Linked DNA regions of Drosophila melanogaster. The protein of the gene in region 4 binds, or shares a complex with, the protein of the main gene of each other region. Each region holds a gene or a part of one and is shown on either strand. Other genes may lie near its edges.

What was found.
Region 1: eIF3e (region 4) and eIF3h share a complex: the UniProt entries of both Drosophila melanogaster proteins name them as parts of the eukaryotic translation initiation factor 3 (eIF-3) complex.
Region 2: eIF3e (region 4) and eIF3a share a complex: the UniProt entries of both Drosophila melanogaster proteins name them as parts of the eukaryotic translation initiation factor 3 (eIF-3) complex.
Region 3: eIF3e (region 4) and eIF3g1 share a complex: the UniProt entries of both Drosophila melanogaster proteins name them as parts of the eukaryotic translation initiation factor 3 (eIF-3) complex.

What each region holds. Positions count from the first base shown.
Region 1 is NT_033779.5:5,050,661-5,055,031, forward strand, and holds eIF3h (eukaryotic translation initiation factor 3 subunit h), read right to left. Parts: upstream 2,424-4,371; 5' UTR 2,076-2,423; coding exon 1,995-2,075; intron 1,655-1,994; coding exon 977-1,654; intron 911-976; coding exon 653-910; 3' UTR 533-652; downstream 1-532. Other genes in the region: CG9121 (uncharacterized protein), read right to left, coding at 1-217; senju, read left to right, coding at 2,424-2,508, 2,579-2,696, 2,755-3,718; CG14036 (uncharacterized protein), read right to left, coding at 4,011-4,292. UniProt on the Drosophila melanogaster protein: Component of the eukaryotic translation initiation factor 3 (eIF-3) complex, which is involved in protein synthesis of a specialized repertoire of mRNAs and, together with other initiation factors, stimulates binding of mRNA and methionyl-tRNAi to the 40S ribosome.
Region 2 is NT_033777.3:4,429,292-4,435,567, forward strand, and holds eIF3a (eukaryotic translation initiation factor 3 subunit a), read right to left. Parts: upstream 4,605-6,276; 5' UTR 4,457-4,604; coding exon 4,408-4,456; intron 4,311-4,407; coding exon 3,226-4,310; intron 3,176-3,225; coding exon 937-3,175; intron 878-936; coding exon 828-877; 3' UTR 507-827; downstream 1-506. Other genes in the region: CG1074 (uncharacterized protein), read left to right, coding at 4,770-4,895, 5,364-6,159, 6,216-6,276. UniProt on the Drosophila melanogaster protein: RNA-binding component of the eukaryotic translation initiation factor 3 (eIF-3) complex, which is involved in protein synthesis of a specialized repertoire of mRNAs and, together with other initiation factors, stimulates binding of mRNA and methionyl-tRNAi to the 40S ribosome.
Region 3 is NC_004354.4:2,608,711-2,612,123, forward strand, and holds eIF3g1 (eukaryotic translation initiation factor 3 subunit g1), read right to left. Parts: upstream 1,627-3,413; 5' UTR 1,536-1,626; intron 1,473-1,535; coding exon 663-1,472; 3' UTR 537-662; downstream 1-536. UniProt on the Drosophila melanogaster protein: RNA-binding component of the eukaryotic translation initiation factor 3 (eIF-3) complex, which is involved in protein synthesis of a specialized repertoire of mRNAs and, together with other initiation factors, stimulates binding of mRNA and methionyl-tRNAi to the 40S ribosome.
Region 4 is NT_037436.4:16,784,685-16,788,732, forward strand, and holds eIF3e (eukaryotic translation initiation factor 3 subunit e), read right to left. Parts: upstream 2,258-4,048; 5' UTR 2,150-2,257; coding exon 2,060-2,149; intron 1,966-2,059; coding exon 1,573-1,965; intron 1,487-1,572; coding exon 662-1,486; 3' UTR 558-661; downstream 1-557. Other genes in the region: CG9706 (uncharacterized protein), read left to right, coding at 1-28, 194-367; CG9674 (uncharacterized protein), read right to left, coding at 3,726-3,859, 3,978-4,048. UniProt on the Drosophila melanogaster protein: Component of the eukaryotic translation initiation factor 3 (eIF-3) complex, which is involved in protein synthesis of a specialized repertoire of mRNAs and, together with other initiation factors, stimulates binding of mRNA and methionyl-tRNAi to the 40S ribosome.

The DNA.
Region 1 (4,371 bases), on a different chromosome or scaffold from region 4:
GATGAAAGACATTCAGCTCGGGCTCCTCGCAGGATTGAAGCAGCAGCTCCAACAGTTCGGCATCGCCCAGAATGGCCGCCGTGCCCACGGCAGTGCGTCCGCAAGTGGGCGATACATACGAGGCCTGGGCACCTTGCATGATGCAGCCCAGAGCCTGCTCGAAATCTCCGCTCTGTACGGCGGTTAGCAGGCGTTCGTTGAGGTCGTAGGACAGCATTTTGCCATCGGGTTAGTAATTTAGTTAGTTAGGCTAACTGAAGCTGGTTAGCGAAAAGGCGAAGCGAAAAGAACAAACCAAATGATAAGCAGCTGCTTGTGGGGTGGTGTGAAAAGTGCGTCGATGTCGTCAGTGGCAGCAACACTCCCCCGGAAAGTCTCATCGAGAAGTGAAACCAAACATCCGGCGTGCGCAGAAGCAGTACCAATTTTTGGCTGCATAGCGGGTGGTGGTTTTCTTTTTTTGGGGCGGTTTGAATTGGCCATTCTATTGAGCAAATGGAGAGTACAATAAAGAAGAAATCAGCTGGCAGTTCGCTTCCAAGCCCACTCATCGCTTGTTTGGTTTATTTTCGACGTCTGTGTGTGCAGTTGCTATGTTTGTGGGTAGTGAATGTTGTTGCCTCAGCTTAAAAAACGCTTAACATTAGCTAATCTATTTGGTTTCCTTTGCTTCCTTGGCAATTTGCAGCGATTCCGTGATGAAGAGTTTGGCCAGCGATTGCGAACAGAATTGTGCGATATGCTGGGCGTGGGTATTGATCTGGCCAGAGGTTATGGTGGCCGTCAGGCGGTTGGGCGCAGTCATGGGGCGGAACTGTTTGATCACTTCCTCCTCTGGCACCGTGGGCTCTCCCTTCGATGTGCGAACGGCGTTCTCGGCGGCCAGCTTAGCCAGAGCACGGTGCTTCTCCTAAAAAATATAAATGCAAGGAAAGCGATTAGGAATTTTTACATATTTAATTATATTGCTACGTACCGTATCCTGCTTGAAGACCACCTGCTGGTACTTGTTATAGCGCACTGCCTCCTGGTACAACTCGTCGACGCGCTCGATCAGGCTACGCATTTGGTTCTCCAATACGGTGGCGGTGCCCAGGTCCAGGAAGTTGTGCCCCTTGTCCTCGGGCAGCAGCTCGTTCAGCTCGCTCATCATAATGTTGGTCAGCGGCGAGTTCTTGATCACAATGGGAATCTCGGCGAAGAGGTTCTCGTAGCCGACCTTCAGGGTGCGGAATGCCTCTGGAGTGAAGTCGCCATCCTTGTACATCTGAATGGCCTGCGGAGTAAGGCGGTAGGCCTTCAAGCACAGGAATCCGCGGGATGACTTCTGCGTATCGTAGACGACAACGACGGACTCTTCAATGCTGGTCTGGTAGTGGTACTGCGATTCCAACAGAGCCATTGACAGGCTGTTGCCCACGTCGGAGCTCTGGTACCAGCCCACATGGAGATGATCTACGTTGACGCGACGCAGGCGACGCATCACGGTCAGCTGGTACATCTCCTCGTCCATGGTCTCATCGCCGCTCTTGGGAAACGGGAAGCAGTTGGTGATCTCCAGGCACTTGTCTACCACCAGACCGAGCAGGGCGCCCTGGGCGAGGTCCATGTTGCTCGACTCCTCATGGCAGTGCTTCACCATCTTCATGACGGCCTGCAAGGTAAAGTGATCGTAGTAATTATGTTCCAAAATCAATTAGCGACAGACAACTATTTGCATTTGAACAGGGGCGTGGAAAGTAGATATATTTCGGACTTTCTTTTAATAGTTTCTCTGAAGAAAACATTTGACTGAAGTTTTTTGTGCTATGGTAATGAAGAGACCGGCCCCCTTTTCCTTATAGCTCTACGCCCATGTCCTCACGAACACCCATACAAACACACACAAAGCACGCAAATTTCTGAGACAGCGCGTGGCATTAACTTTTCCGGCTTTCGCGCCGGTTCCCACGGGCCAATCTCGGCCAGGTCTTTTGGCCAACAGCACTACTCACCAGTCCGTCGCATTGGACGTAGTTAATGGTATTATCCGAATCCTCGGTGCGAGCAGCATGACGATTTGCGCGATTTGCCATGTTGACGAATTGTAAGCGAAAAGACCCACGACGTGAACTCGGCTGCAGTGGTAAAAGGGCGTTTCGCAACACCACAATTTTTGTGTGGGTTGAAGTGTTGAAAAGCGTGCACTGCTTTAAAATCAGCTGTTCGGGCGAGCGATAAAAAAAGGCCCAAAATATATTTTGTTTATCAGTGGAAAAGCAACAGAAACAAACTCAAAATTGTACTTCCTAGAAAACCGAGAAACGGCCCACTTGTCACGAACGAGCGGAACGGTACTGATAACTGCGGTTGCCGCAACTTGTAGCTAGTCTTAGTTCTCTTCGCATTAGCAACGCAACGCTGGCAGTACGAAGACCGCAGAAATGTCAACTAATTGGCGTGAATTGTTCCCCACCAAGCTCACATTTGTGATCTTCCTGTTGTACATGTCCCTATTCATAGGACAGGGTATGCAGCTGCCTTATTAAGGCTTTTTACGCAAGCCAAAGCCGCACCCTAATTCCTGTCTATTTTGCAGGCATCTTTGTCACAGCATCTCAGGAATCGAATAACTCCTATGGCTACAATACCGTCACGGTTGTGCTGCTAACCGAGGTCTTTAAATTGATAGTCTCCACCTGTCTGTATTGCCGAGAGTGAGTAGGAGTGGAGGCGCTCCTTTGTCTCGCTATTAAACCGCGATTTCATTCACAGCAACAACCTACGCTCCCTGGTGCGCGATGTTCAGAAGGATCGGAATGTATTGGGCTTGTACATGGTGCCCGCCTTTCTCTACTGCCTGTACAACAATTTGGCCTTTGTCAACTTGGCCACATTCGATCCCACCACCTACTATCTGCTACTGCAGCTACGTGTCGTTGTCACGGGCATACTATTCCAAATTATCTTCAAGAAGTACCTGTCGCAAAGGCAATGGATCTCCCTCATACTGCTGACACTCGGCTGTATGATGAAGCAGGTCGATTTCGGCAGCTTCTACAGCGATGCGAATGATGACAGCGAGTCCGCAGCCATACAGCAGCAGCTGCAATCACATAATAAAACAACTTCTGCAGAGACGCACGCTCACGGCAAGAACATGTCCGGCTTCGATTTTAGCCTGAGTGCCGTCTTCATTCTGGCACAGACAATTTGCTCTTGTCTGGCGGGCGTTTACAATGAGTATCTGCTTAAAGATAAGGGAGCCGATGTGAATATCTTTGTACAGAATGTCTTCATGTACCTGGACTCGATTGTCTGCAATGCAGTCATCCTCTTGCTGCGCGGCGAGCTCCTTGATGCCTTTAGTCCGCAGAATCTGGGCAGTATTATGCGCTTTAGCGTGCTAATCATTATTGTTAACAATGCGGCTATTGGCATTGTCACGAGTTTCTTCCTCAAGTACATGAACTCCATTCTAAAGACCTTCGCGAGCGCTCTGGAGTTGCTCTTCACGGCAGTCCTATGCTACTTCCTCTTCTCCATACCCATTTACATGAACACCGCGCTGGCCATCGCGGTTGTATCCTACGCCATCTATCTCTACACCCAAAGCCCGGTGGTTAATTTGGGCAAGGTGCGTCCGCTGTCCAATTTAAGTGATGCCACGACCAAATCAACGGATAAACGAAAGCTGATCGACGAGGAAGCGGCAGAATCGGACCTCGATATGGTGTAATGCTGTAGCTTGTCCTAGACGTAATCTTAGACTGTAAATAGTTGTGGAAAAGTGCCTGCAAATGTTTTAAACGCCAGACGAATGTATTTGACCCCAGGCTTTGTGCAATGCAATAGCAACAGGCTTGTAAATACCAAAACTTTTGCTCCTCTAGTTTAAGATTCTTATTTTAATCAGAACATAAATGCAATCAAACGAATATTGTGCATGCTTCTTCAAGAAGCTTTTTATTTTATGGTTCATATACTATCACATATGTACATGGTATATTTGGATGCCTGCTTGTCTTAGCCTAAAATGGTGTGTCCACATCATGTCCATCTTCCTGTTTGGGCGGTATGCGACTACGAAGCGCTATCTGCACCGCCTGGTTTTCGATGCTGCGGAGATAGTAGTCACACTCCTTCAGATGCTTCTCCATGTCCTGGACTCGGTGTGTGGCGTTGTACTTGCAGGTCTGCAGCGGCGGTCCACAGTAGTTCTTCTCGCACTTAATTAAGTGCTTGGGCATCCGGAAGAGCAAGATGCGGTGCGATTTGTCGTAAGGGCAAATTCCGTACTCGAAATCGGACATTTTGAAAAAGTCAAGAGCCGTTTGTCAAAACAACAAATTCATAAAGCTTAAGGTACCGCTATGTTTTAAAGTTTTAGTT
Region 2 (6,276 bases), on a different chromosome or scaffold from region 4:
TGTTCACGTGGACCGAGATTCGCGGCAGCGGCACAGACAGTGTGACCAGGGGCGCGCACCGCGGAGGATCCGCGAGGCCATGGCATTAGTGCCAAGTTCGCAAGAAAATACTAGTTGAGTGTGCGAAGAAGGCGCGGGCTCATATTATCGAGGCAAATTTTCAGAGGCAGAATATTTTTGTTTTGCTTGCTATAAAAGCTTTTCTAAATTTACTCGAATTTATTCCCAACGAATATGGTTTTACCTAAGAAAGATGTCACTTTTTTAAAATAAGTCAAGCGTATGTGATAATACAATTTACAATACTTTTGAATGCATTTTTTATTTATGGGCAATTAAAAAACCTAATGTTAAAAAGCCACGCTTCCAAGAACGAACTTTGTAAAACTATAGAAGAACCCGCATTTGTTTAGTTTGCAAACTACATTTTAATGTAGTTTTAGCTCTGTCGAAATATAAATTTAAAGGGACTGGTTTATAAATCACTGTACGTATAAGGGAAGCTTGGTTCATCCTGAAATCTGATAAATAAGAATTAGAATTTTTGAATTAAACCAATAATAACCACTTTTCATTTCTTTGATTCCCAAGGTTCTCATTCGACAATTTCACTTTTCAATTTTTTAGAACATAGTTATTTTATTCGAAAGTACTTTAATTAGTATCGGTCCTACAACCATCTCAATTTTAACTATCTGGCACAAGCTTTGGATAGATAGATATAATATACCGGCCGACTGAGCTCTACACCAATAAAGTACAAGTCGGATGAAATAAAAACTTATTAAGAATATTATGCTGGGTATATACGATGATGAAAATAAAAATTAACGACGCTTAACGCTGGTCCACTCGCCATCATCGCCAGCTTTGTTCTCTGAAAGATGTAACGCATTGATAAGAATGGAAATTAGGTTTGCTGCTGAGATTACTTACCCTTTTCCTGGGCTTGATCGCGCTTAGCTGCTGGTTTTTCCTCACGGGTCGCAGGAGCAGTACGCCAGTTTCCGCCTACTCCGCCACTGGCTGCCTCCTTAGGAGCAGAGCCGCGTTGATCGCCACGAGTCTCGCGCACATCTCGGTCGCGCCTCTCAGCTGGGCGACGGGTTTCCCGATCAGCGTGGCGTGGAGCGTCGCGCCAGTTCCCTCCAGTTTCCCGCTGAGGCTCGTCGGTACGACGCGCCCCGTCGGCGCGGCGGAATCCACCGCGCTCATCGTCACGATCCCGGCGAGGACCATCGTCACGGTCACGCCGAGGCCCATCATCCCTGTCGCGACGAGCCCCATCAATGCGGAAATCGCGGTCACGTTCTCCGCCACGCCGCCACTTGTCATCGCGCGATTGCGGAGCGCCACTGTCTTTGGGAGCAGCTGCACGCTGTGAATCTGGCTCTCGTCGCACACGCCAAGAGGAGTCCGCTCCCTCGTTGTCCTTGCGGTCACGGTCACCGCCTCGTTCAATGCGCTCTCCACCACGCTCGAGGCGTTCTCCACCGCGCTCGATCCGTTCTCCTCCGCGCTCGATACGCTCGCCACCACGGTCGTTGCGTTCACTGGCCGCAGGTGCAGCACGACGCCACTCGCTGGATCCGCCGTTAGATGCGCTTGGACGGTCACCGCCTCGAGGACGCCATGTGTCACGGTCCTTTTCAGTGCGTTCGCGCTCCGAGGCCAACTCCCTGGACAGGCGGTCTCGATCTTCCTTGATTTTACGCTCAGCTTCCTCCTCCTTGGCACGCTGCTTTTCGTATTGGGCACGACGCTTTTCGTCCTCAGCCTCACGCTCCAAACGGCGGGCTTCTGCTGCGGCGCGCTCTTCGGCAGCCTGTGCCAAGCGAATCTCTTCCTCCTTGCGAAGACGCTCCTCCTCTTTCTCGCGAAGGAAGGCCTGTCGGCGCTCCTCGCGGCGTCGAATAATGCGGTCGGCTAAGCGCTTTTTGCGCTCTGCCTCCAGAGCAGCCTCAAACTTTTTGAGCTTTTCGACGTAGAGGGAGGCACGTTCTTTTTTAAGGGCCTCAAGGAATTCATCCCGGTCCGGATACATGCGCTTGAGACGCTCCTGCTGGGCGACGGCATCCTTCCGTTCGGCAATGGCATTCTCGATGCGTGTCTTCTCGGTTGCTTCCCAGAACTCCTTGTCCTTAACCTGCTTTTCGGCCAAGTATTTTTCGAAAAGCGGTATCTCCTCCAGGCGCTTGGCGCGTTCGAAGTAGTCGATTTTCTTCTCTTGCGATTTGAGTTTCGACTGCAGTTCCTTGGCCTCGCGCTGAAGTTCCTCGCTTTCCCGCTTGGCGATCTGCTCGGCGTCCAACTTCTTAATGCCTTCCTCATCCAGCTTGGAAAGCATCTTCTTACCATGAGCCGTCTGCGAGATTTGCTGAACCTTCTCCTTGAGACTCTTCTCCCGGATGGCTTGGATTTCGTTCTGATGGCGCTTGCGCTCTCTTTCTTCTTGCTCCTGCTCGAGGCGCTTCTGTTCGGCCAGTTTGGCCTTCCGCGATTCCTCCTCCTGACGCCGCGCCTCTTCCTCTTCACGAGCATTATTCTGCTTCTCGATGTACTCCTTTCTGTCCTCGATGATCTTCTGTCGCTGAAGAATACGCTGGTGCTCGCGATCCTTGATCTCATGGTAATGGTTTACCATCTGGTTGCGGAGCTTGGCCCGCTGGTCACGTTCACGGTTCGGGTAGACGATTGAAACTGCCCGTGTCAGAACAGTAGACATATTAACCAACTGAGAGCGGATCTGTTCCGAGGGCATCGATTGCAAAGCGGGTCCGTCGGGGCGGTACTCGCGTTGACTCTCGGTCAGATCAGTGCCGAAATAGATACTGTTCTTCTGGTGGTCAATACGAATCTGCATGTCATTGTGACGCACGGACTCGACCAGCAGTTTTTCCAATTCAAAAATGTTGCAAAAACTGGCCAGCTGCAAGAGACGCTGGAACTTAATACTCTCATAAACCTGAGAGATCTGACGAATCAGACGCATTATAGTCACGTCCTTCAGCGATTGAATGTAAGGAGTGAGCAGAGCGTTTTCGGGCCCGTTCTCAATGAAGTCCACGATAGACTGAATGCGCTTGCACAGATTCAGTGGGTTGAAATCCACCTCCAACCAGTTGTATAGATTGCGAAAGTCCTCAGATACGAGTTGAGGAACATTCAAGCGCACCTGTGTTTATGAATTAGTCATAAGTCATTACTATATTGCGTGATACTTACCACTTCACGAATAAGGGAGACGCGAGTAGGTGGCTGGGGCAGGCCCAAAAGCACGGCCAACTTCTGCGCCTTCTCCAGGGGGCTCTTGTCCGCCTCAATAAACCTGTCGAACTCTGGATGGGCCGAAGGCAACGGAATAGAAAGAGTGGCCAGGAGAACGTGGGCAGCCATACGCTGCAAGTCGTCCTTCGTCAGGTTCTTCTTCAGCTCGCGCGTCAGCTGGAAGAGCTTCAGCAGCGCTGCAGCGTGGAACAACTGGTTGCCGGCCTTGCTAAAGACCATGGCTAATTTTTGGTAGTAGTTGGCCATGGTTTTGGGCACGGGTGTCTTCTTGGACAGAGCCATCAGGCCATGGATATCCTCGATTGCCTTGTAGGCCTCTTGCCACAGCTCCATCTGGATGGCCGAGTCAAGAAGGTACAACCTGGTGTCCAAGCAGAGCTGCTGCGTTTCCACCTTGTTGATCGAGACACCGGTGGTCTGGTTGCTGCTCTTGCAAATGTCCTCCAAGTGTTTGCGCAGCTTGTCGCACAAGCGGCGAAACTCGCTCTTGCGGTTGTACTTAAGGCAGAACTGGAAGGCCATGCGAGCGATATCGTGGTACAGCGCCTCGCAATGCGTGTTTACGCGCAGCAGCTCTAGACACTGGCAGTAGGACTCCCACAGGAACTTGACCCACGGGAGCAGAATAGTGCGGTCGGAGCGGTCCTGTGCGTCCTCGCCACACACTGCGCTCATTAGGATGCTCTCTGGCGTGGCAATGTTGTCCAGGTCATCCAGCTCCAGAACAGCAACGGCCGCCGAGGACTGGGCTTGGGCAGCCTCTGTGTGCTCTTCGGCCATTTTCAGGTAGCCGCGGATTACATTTTCCAGAGAGTTCACGTTCACCAGCTGGAACATGTTCCGGTACTGGAATAGTCCCTCCTTGGCGATGTGCGACTTCTTGAGTTCCACGCAGAGGTACAGGTACTTGAACATGAGCGGTTCGATGACCGTCTCCGAGTAGGCATAGTTCCATCGCTTGTTCCGGAAAACTTCCTGCAGCGTGTCCAGCGCCCTAAGCGGCTTTCCCACTTCAATGAACTCTGTGACGAAGAGAGCGGCGTCGAGTTAAGAGAGCACACGATTCGCGAAGACGAAAGTTTCTCTTCAGACACCGCATGGAAAATTTTCAGCACTCACCATTAGCCCTTTTTAGGGCGTTTTCCGGACGTTGCGTATAGCGGGCCATTTCCGATCGCTTTACTTACTTGCGGCGGCACTTCAAGTTGATTTTGATAGCAGGTCTGGAGCGTTTTGAGACCTGGGGCTGCTGAAAATTGTATAAATCTTCGGCTCGCCTACGTGTGGCTGCAATATTAATGCAAAATGGCCGAGTCGACGGCACGCAGGGCTACACCTGGCTGCGTTATCGATAGTTCAGGCCGATAGTTGCCGATGGTCAGCTAATCGCAGTGCAACTCCGCTAGCTCACAGCAATAACACGAGGAGTAATGAAGTCGCTCTAGAATATAAATAAACAATTCATTAATTAAAATAGCGACATGGTCAACTGGAGGAAGTTTATCTTGTGGTTCGCCCAGGAGCATGTCGACTTTCGCGTGCAGGAGTTTGATTCGCTGGTCAAAATGTTTGGACTTCAGGTCCGGCGGCTTACAGAACACACCAGGGTAAAGTGTTTTAGTACCAGAATTTTGAAAACGCAAGATTAACAAATTCCACCTCCCCTATAACTTTTAAAACCTGTGGTTTAATGTTATATCCAAACTTGGAATTTTATTAATATGTTTAATATTTTTAACGTAAAAAAATTTTATATGTATTTGTAAGAGGAAGAAAATAGTAAACTATATTTTCAAAAGTGTTTTCAACAGGTAGAAATTTAGCATTACTAGCTATAAATTATATACGATCGTTGAGATCTCAGGAACTACAAAACCTAAAAGGTTTCGAAAGGATACCTGATACCTGGTATACATACATTACGAATACGATCCGCGTACCTGTTAGATGTTTTTAGTGTAGGATACTTTGATTACATTATTTTTAGAGCTTGCGACACATATATAAATACTTCTGTAGTATAGAAGCATCAGCATATATAGTTATATTTATATTTTTTAATTTCGGTATTACAGAAACCATTTTGGTTGGTCGAATTTCGGGACACGGATACTGCGTTGCTATATGCATCCAGGTCCGTTTCGTTGCGCGCCATGTTCGAGCTCTACGCCCACTCCAACAAATTACCCGAGTTTCACCAGAGGCTACGGAATCATGTTACCGCGAACTGGCATTCGCTTGCGGAATACTTTCGGGTGGATGCCAGTTTTAAGATCGTTGTGGAGACCTACAACAAGCACTTCAGCCAGAGGGAAAAGGTTGAGAAAATCGAGTCCATGGATTACCTGCCAATAGAGGGAACGGTCAATCTGGAGAAACCCGTGGTGGAGTGGTGGTACATCGAGTTTTGGGGCTTGGATCCAACGGCTGTGCCACCTGAGCCGGAGGACATTCTGTTTGGTCGGCTGATGGCCCATGGTCAGCGGCATTTGATCAAGGAGCTTTCGCTGAAGCATCGTAAGTTTATCGGTAACACCAGCATGGACGCCCAGCTGAGCCTGCTAATGGCCAACCAAGCGATGGTACGCAATGGGGATCTGGTATTTGATCCGTTTGTGGGAACGGGCTCGCTTTTGGTAAGCGCCGCCAAGTGGGGCGGGTATGTCCTGGGAGCGGACATAGACTACATGATGGTGCACGCCCGCTGCCGGCCGAGCCGGATAACCCAAAAAGTGCGGGAGAAGGACGAGAGCATTCGGGCCAACTTGAAGCAGTACGGCTGCGCTGATCGCTACATGGATGTGGTGGTGGCCGATTTCTCCAACCCGGTGTGGCATTCCCGCATCTCGTTCGACTGCATAATAACAGATCGTAGGTTTATTCTTTTTTATACCAAACTTAAAATGTTCATTCTTTGGTAATTTAAGCTCCCTATGGAATAAGAGAGGCCACGGAAAAGGTGGAGAAAAAGGCTAGCGTAAAGGCCAA
Region 3 (3,413 bases), on a different chromosome or scaffold from region 4:
CGTCTCACTGACGACTGAAAATGAGCGCACACCTGAAGATCAAAAATATTGTTTCGAATGCTTTTTGAATATTTTGCGGCATCTGATTTCTATTTTTGGCCACAAAAACAAACACAATTTACGCAAATCGCTGGCAAACACAAAAACAACAACACCATGGTGTTTATTCGCATGCAAACGATGGCGTTGCCAGATCGGCTGGAATCATGCTTTCTACAGTGGGCACCGCGTAAGGTTAACTTGTTAACCATATGTGGGTAGCTGCATGTCGTTAAAAAATACACTTAACAAATCATATTCAAGTTTTTTAAGTAACAAATAAAAAATATTTCTTTTATATGTTGTTCCCAGTGTCTACGATTTGGTGGCCTTGCGTCCTTTAAAACGAGGGAGAAAGCTATATTAGAGCAAAAGTCGAAAGCATTTGTGTTGGTTGGTCCGCAAAACTAAAGAAGAGCGATTAAGTTATATCAAATATGAAAAATATACGATTCTAGATGCCATTGTATCCTTGCAGAGCATAGTCATCTGGTTTTCGGTGCCCATGGGGGCTGTTTTAAGATTTATTTGTAGCAAACTTAGCATAGCATAGGGACAAATTGTGTGATCGACTCGAACGGACTCCTATGAGCAGTAAACGCGGGTAGTGGGAACGGGACTAACTAATTGTTCTGGGGTTTCGACCATTCGACGCTGAGGATCAAGTGGTCGTAGCCGTGTCCATTGAGGATCTCGATGGCGGCGGCCGCATCCTTGCGCTGCTTGAAGTGCACGTAGGCGAATCCCTTGCAGAGTCCGGTGTTCTTGTCGCGGGCGAGATACATCTTGCTCTGCGGTCCAATCTTCTTCACCAGCTCCTCGAGATCCGCCTCGGTCATCGACTCCGACAGATTCGATATCCTAATGGCGGCCGTGTCGTCGCGTCCGCGCATTCCCAGCGCGCCCTTTTGGCTGTCCTTGAGGAACGGCGGCACATACTTGCCGGACTTGGGCGCATCGACGGCGGCCGCGGCGGCTGCCGAAGCCTTCTTCTCCATCATATTCGTGTCCATCGCCGTGCCCTTGTACGGGCAGTTGACCGACCAATGCTCACCGTTGCAGATACGGCACTTGGCAATATTCTTGGTGGGATCTAGCAGCGGATCGTTGGCCTTCTCGTCCTCCTTGGAGTTGAGGAACTGCATGATGATCTCCTCGGACACCATGGTCGTCTGCGAGTTGGGGCCGGGCTTGTCGTTCTTCGAGTCGCCGAACTTCGTCCAGGTGCGTCGCTTGGCCACCGTCTTGGGCACCACCTGCTTGGATATCTTGTACGTGCGCACCACCTTCGTCTTCTTGTCGTCCTTGTTGTACTTGTACTCCGTCACGTACTTCTGTCCGTTCTCCACCGTCTCCGTCGTCGGAGGTAGTCCACCATAGTCGAGCTCCACCTCGTCCGCCCAGGAGGATTTGATCGTTTCAACGCCCGGCATCTGAAAGGAATTGAGGGCGCAGTGAGTGGGGCTACACTGGGCGCTTGCTTGGGGTGCACTCACTCTGATTTTCAACGCGATTTGTATGCGAAATCGTAAATGCAAATTTCGCCACGAGTTAAGCGGATTTTTAATCAGCAACAAAAGAGTGTTACCCTGCCGCGGTCACAAAAATATGCCGTGTGTGTCCAAAAAATATACCGCTAATACCACTTTGCACTTTTTGGAATATACCATTTGAAATTTCGTTACATATAAGTTAATAAGTTATCGATTTGATTTTGAAGATCGCAAGCGACCGTTTATTGCAATTTATCATTTGAAACTAAATCTAGCGTACAAAATGTTTCCCTAAGTCCCTAGCAATCAAGTGAAGTCGTCGGCAGCGGCGCAGCAGGCGTCGGCCGCGGCGCAGCGCAGAAGTGTCGATGTCGCGCTTAACCGTTCGTTGGCGTTGATGGCAGCGGAGACTATGTGGAACCACAAGATGTTAGAGAATCAATTGCAGGGCAATAACTCCTCCCCTCTTAATTGACGCTTGTCCTCGAGCGGTCATCATAAGGATGGGATGTTTTTGAGTCGCATCGTTGGTGGGGTGATTCGTGGTAGTTTGGGCACAGCATTAATGGTTTGAATGCCAGGTGTTTATTGTTGCGTGCGTTCGAGGTTTGTGCAACTCGGATGTGTTCTGCATTGACAACTTGATTGCTTCTATTAAAATTCTGGTTTTTACTAAATTACTAATGAATTTATATCTACATATTTTTAGACCATTGGAACCTTTGCAGAAGGCATTGATTCCGTACATTTCGTCTTTAATTGGTAAATTTTATTATTATTCAAATTAAATTATTATTTATTTATTATTATTAGTTTCCTTTACTGATCATGTTTTAAAATATAAGAAATAAGGAATTAACTGATTCAATATGGAGATTTCAATGGCATTCAAATTGTAGTTCCGTTGTGTAAAGCGAGAACGTGTGAAAGTTTTAACATTTATTTGACCGTCAAGGCAGAAATCGGTATATTGTTTTCAAGTAGGCTACTGGTCTCATTCAATTTAAACTCGCTCCGCAGAAACGCATTCACAACGCAATCTCTTCTTTCACGAGCCCAATCTAATTCTGCAAACCTATGGCCAACTCGTCTGTCAAAGTCGAATCGTTTCAAATTTAATTCTCGTGGTTACGTTAATCAGTATGTTTAATGTTTCTATGTTCTACTTGTCTATCGATGTGGCCACAGTAATTATTCTGAAGCAATCATGATCTTATGTTACTTTTATGTACTAATTTCCCTGATTCTGTTAATATTGTGGTACTTCGGTCTTCCTTAACTAGTTCCTTCCTAAATCTACTTGATAACTTAGAACCTAATCTTGTATTAACCCTAACGAAAATTTCTTGCCCTTTGATATAGGTTTTTATGGGCTTTCTTGTCCGGTTGTGGTATTCTATGTCGGTTTCCTGTTTTTGCCTAAGTCGGTCTATATTGTCCAGTCTAGCTTGTTCATATTTTTCTGGAGCTACGGTAGCTATCCTGCCGAAGAACACCTCTAGAGGTCGTTTTTTTGTGACAGAATGGACAGTGTAGTTATATTCATAGATGGCCCTATCGAGAAGTTCCTCGAAGCCCCTATGTGTTCCATCTCCTTTCAAACATCTCATTATTTCAGAGAGTGTGGAGTGAAATCTTTCTATCTGTCCATTTACTGTACTCTTATACGGAGGTGCTTTGTAGAGCTCAATACCCAGCTGGTCTGTCAACATGAATTTGATAGAGGCTGAGTTGAGGGACTTTTCATTGTCCATTACTATTAATTTAGGCACTCCATAATAAAACACGATATCTCTTAGGGCTTTCCTAATGTCTTCTACAGCTTTGGATTTGATAACTCTTCCCATGGCCAGTTTGGAAAATTTATCAATCGCCGTGAGC
Region 4 (4,048 bases):
TACCTGCCAGGGCAAGGAGGAGCAACAGGTGAGTGCTCAGAGAGAGATTCTACAGCATACAAGATTATTATTATTATTGTATATGGATACATATGTATGGTGAAAGTTTTACCCCAAACCAGGAAAAGATAAACTTTGCCAGTTATGAGATAAAAGTAACTAAACAAATATTTTTCTTAATTTTCTCCCGCAGAGCTGTGAAGCGTCGGCTGGCAAGTGCGAGATAACCTTCGATGGGTACTACTTGGAGTCGGGCATTTGCGTTCTGTACGGCATAGTGTGGCTGCTGCTGGTGCGCAAATGGATCGTTTACTTGCAGGACCTGCCCGTCAGATCCTGGTTGGTGGTCAAGCAGAAATCGCGGTAGCAATCAATAGTGTGATCCGGGGCCAGATCGTCATAAAGATCCAGCACCCACTTGTAGGTACAAACAACTAATTCTAGGATTAGCAGACGTTTGCATTCTGTAGGCTAGCGAAATTACAAATTCCCGCCTTGGTATTGTTTTTTGTATAACTAATTTTGATTCCGAAGGAAATAAAATCAAATGTTGAATTGAGCGAATGAGTAAGATGTTAATTTATTCGCTCGACTGCGCGCAATCATCGGTTTTTAAAGGGTACAAAGAGTCTTAACTTAATTGTGGATAAAAAGTCAGCAACTAGTAGTACTTCCAGGAGTCGGCCGACTCCTGATTCTGCTTCTGCTTGCTCTTGCGCTCAATCAAACCTGCCAAATGCTCCGACCGCATGGACAGCGAGTCGATCTTCTCCACCAGCTGCTGATAGGGACTCAAGGGCTGGGTGCCCATCACCACATGACCCAGTTTCGAATCGATCTTGGCATTCAGACGGGCATTGCGGATAAGGTTGACGATCCAGCACTCAGCCTCGTTGGGCTTCATGTTCAGCTTATCGGCCAGCATGCTGATGGTGATGCACTGGTGGATGCGGCAGAATGTCTCGAAGATCATCAAGCGGGCATCCTCCACGAACTCATTCAGGCAGGCCACGATGAAGAAGTCGTTGAGGATCACCGTCTGGCACTCGTGCAGCTTCAGACGCGCTCCCTCGAAATCAAAGTTCACGTACAGACACTCCAGAAACTCGGTGATGGGATCGCGGTACGTGTACGACTCCTGTTGGATCACCTTGATCAAATCCTTTAGAGCATTGCGGCGGGTGCGGTTGATGACTACGGCGGTGGCCAAGTAACGCATGATGTGCGGACACATTGTCTGAATGGCGTTCAAATACAGGGGCTTGTACAGGAACATCTCAATAATGAGATCGCGTCCCTTGGGGTGATTGAAGAAGACCAGGACCGACCAGTGGATCAGCCAGGTGCGTTGCTGCAGGGCCTGGATGGTGCTGAAGTTGGCGTTGTCAATGTAGTCGCGCAAACGCGTCAGATCCTCCAGAGCAGTGTTCCAGTTGAGGGTCAGAATCTCGGCGGCCAGCTTGCCCCACAGCACATTAAGGTAGTTCTGCAAAATTTGGGAGACAATATCAATTAATATTCTTGTTTTAGTGGTTTTTGCCGCTTTTCATGTTAATTTAGCTCCATACGCACCTTGTCGTTGGGCGACATGACGATGAGGCAGAAGTACAGGTAAGAGGTGGACTCCTGATAGTTGCCGCACTCGTAGAGGTACTTGGCCAGCTTGTAGGCGCTCTCCAGGTGCTCCACCTTAAAATTGTAGTCCTTCTGAAGGGCGTTGACGAAGGTCTTCGAGTCCTTCATGCTCTCACCGTTCTTAAGAATGTCGGTGGCCTTCATGATGGGTGCCACCTCGTTCTGCAGCTGCTTAAGCGTGGCCAGGACCTCCGCCTTGCGCTGCACGAGCTCCTCGGGCATCTCCTGGCTGAGATTGAGACGCTTGCGGGTGTCCATCGTGTAATCGATCATGTTCGTCTTGTTCACCGTCTCCAAAATGTACTCCAGCAGCTCCTGCTGGTTGTAGATCTGCAACGAAAGTCACACATATGAAGATTTCCCATAGTTATGTACTGGTGACTCGGCAACCGCCAGCGGAGCACCGCCTGGTCGCTTTTCTAACCTCCTTGCCGCACAAGAACTCCAGCAGCGGGAAGGTCAAATGCCTGTCCAAAAACTGGCAATTGATGCGTGTCAGATCGAAATTGGCCATGATTGCAGCTGTTTTACTATGTTTTCACAATTAAATTTACACGCAAAATCGGCAGAAAAATACGCGTGCGAGGGCCGACAGTGTGCCCAGAGACGAAAAGAGTGACGCCCGCTCAGAGTTACCAGAGTGTGGTATTTCCACGACATTAAATACCATGACCCTGAAGCCGTATTTTTTTCAAGCTTTCAAAGTGGCGCATTTATTTAAAATAAAATTAAGTCATTGAAACAACTTTCAAAAAATACTCAATTTTCAAAATTTCTATTATCTTAGCATGGCTATTATAGCAATAAAAAATTATTATTTCAATTGTGGCGCCCAGACTGAAACCCGGTCTGGCATCACGGCGAAAAGAGGTACTAACGCCAAGACCTTTCCTGGAGGACGATATCTTCTGTCTTCTTATCGTCAGACTGGACACACTGGAACTTCAGCTCCGCTCGTAACAAGCTTACGGCATAAAACAACAAGATATTGTACTTAGTAATTAAATAAAGCGGTAACTACATAAGTTACCATACAATGAATTTAAAGAAATATTATTAAATATTTTCTACATTACAATGGTTTCTCATTCCTTTAAAGTTATACGCTTTACGTAAAATACCAATAATTTTAAATTACAAGGTATACATATAACAAAGGTTTTTAATTTCAAAAAGACGTTGCCTCTCTTTTCAAGCTATTAATAAATATATTTCCCATGCCAAATTCAAAACACAAATATCAACTCATCGGAGAAATGCTTTTTAATAATTTGAATATTTATTTCATCAAATACTTGCACATAAATATATTTATATAGAGATGTCTGTATAAGGGTATACATTTGGGTTAAATATGTTTTGTATAAATTGTGTAATTCTTTGTATTCGCACATTCAACTGCCAAAGAGCAGATTTGTTTTAACAATAGCCACTTAGGTACATTTGCGGTCAACGGTCGAATGCAGTTCAAAACACAAAAACAACATCTAAAAAATGCGTTTCGATATTGGCCGAGTTTAATACATTTCTCTTTCTGTATATACGATTTATGGATTGTATATAGGATGGTGGAGATCAGCATATCAATTTTCACTTCATATATTTCGTTTGCATAGATTAGGCAACTCAAGCTAAAACAACATTGAAAAAATGCATTTTCTAAATATTTAATGTTCAATTAATTTTCATTTTAACGATAACGGTAAGTTTCTAGTTATTGTCCTTAGATTTTTTGTTGGATATTCGATTTCCGTTAAGATATACATATTGATTGGCTTCAATCAGAATTTCAGTTTGCACTCTTAATTGACTCCTGCCGCATCATCATCATCATCATCATCATCATATGGAGGGCATCTCGACGAACCACTAACAATTCCCAGCCAGCTTTGCGATCAAAATAAAACTAAATGAAACGTGTTTCGTTTTGGTTTGGTGTGTAAAAAACTCAAGTCTTTTTAGTGTAAACTAAACTAAAATCGCGAAAATAAAAATCACAAATCGTTAAAGAATTTCGCACTATAGGCTAAGGACGATGCACGCACACAAAACTTGATATTAGCTGCTCTGGCTGCCTCTGTGGATCCTCTTTAGGATGTCGCGATGACGCCACCAGGTCCTGGAAGCCCACTGGGACGGCCGGTCAGATAGGAATCGACCTGTCGTGCGGCCTGGCGACCCTCGGTAATGGCCCAGACGACCAGCGACTGGCCACGCCGGCAATCTGCAAAGGACAGAAGATAAATTAACATTTTTGTTATGCAAAGATACAGAAATCATTCAATGATTGATGTGATTAACTCTTAATACTAAGCCTATTACTTAGTAGACATAAAACTGACCTCCTGCCGCAAAGACCTTGGAGTTCGAGGTGCCATACTGTCCGTTGGATGCCTTGATGTTGCCGCGCGGG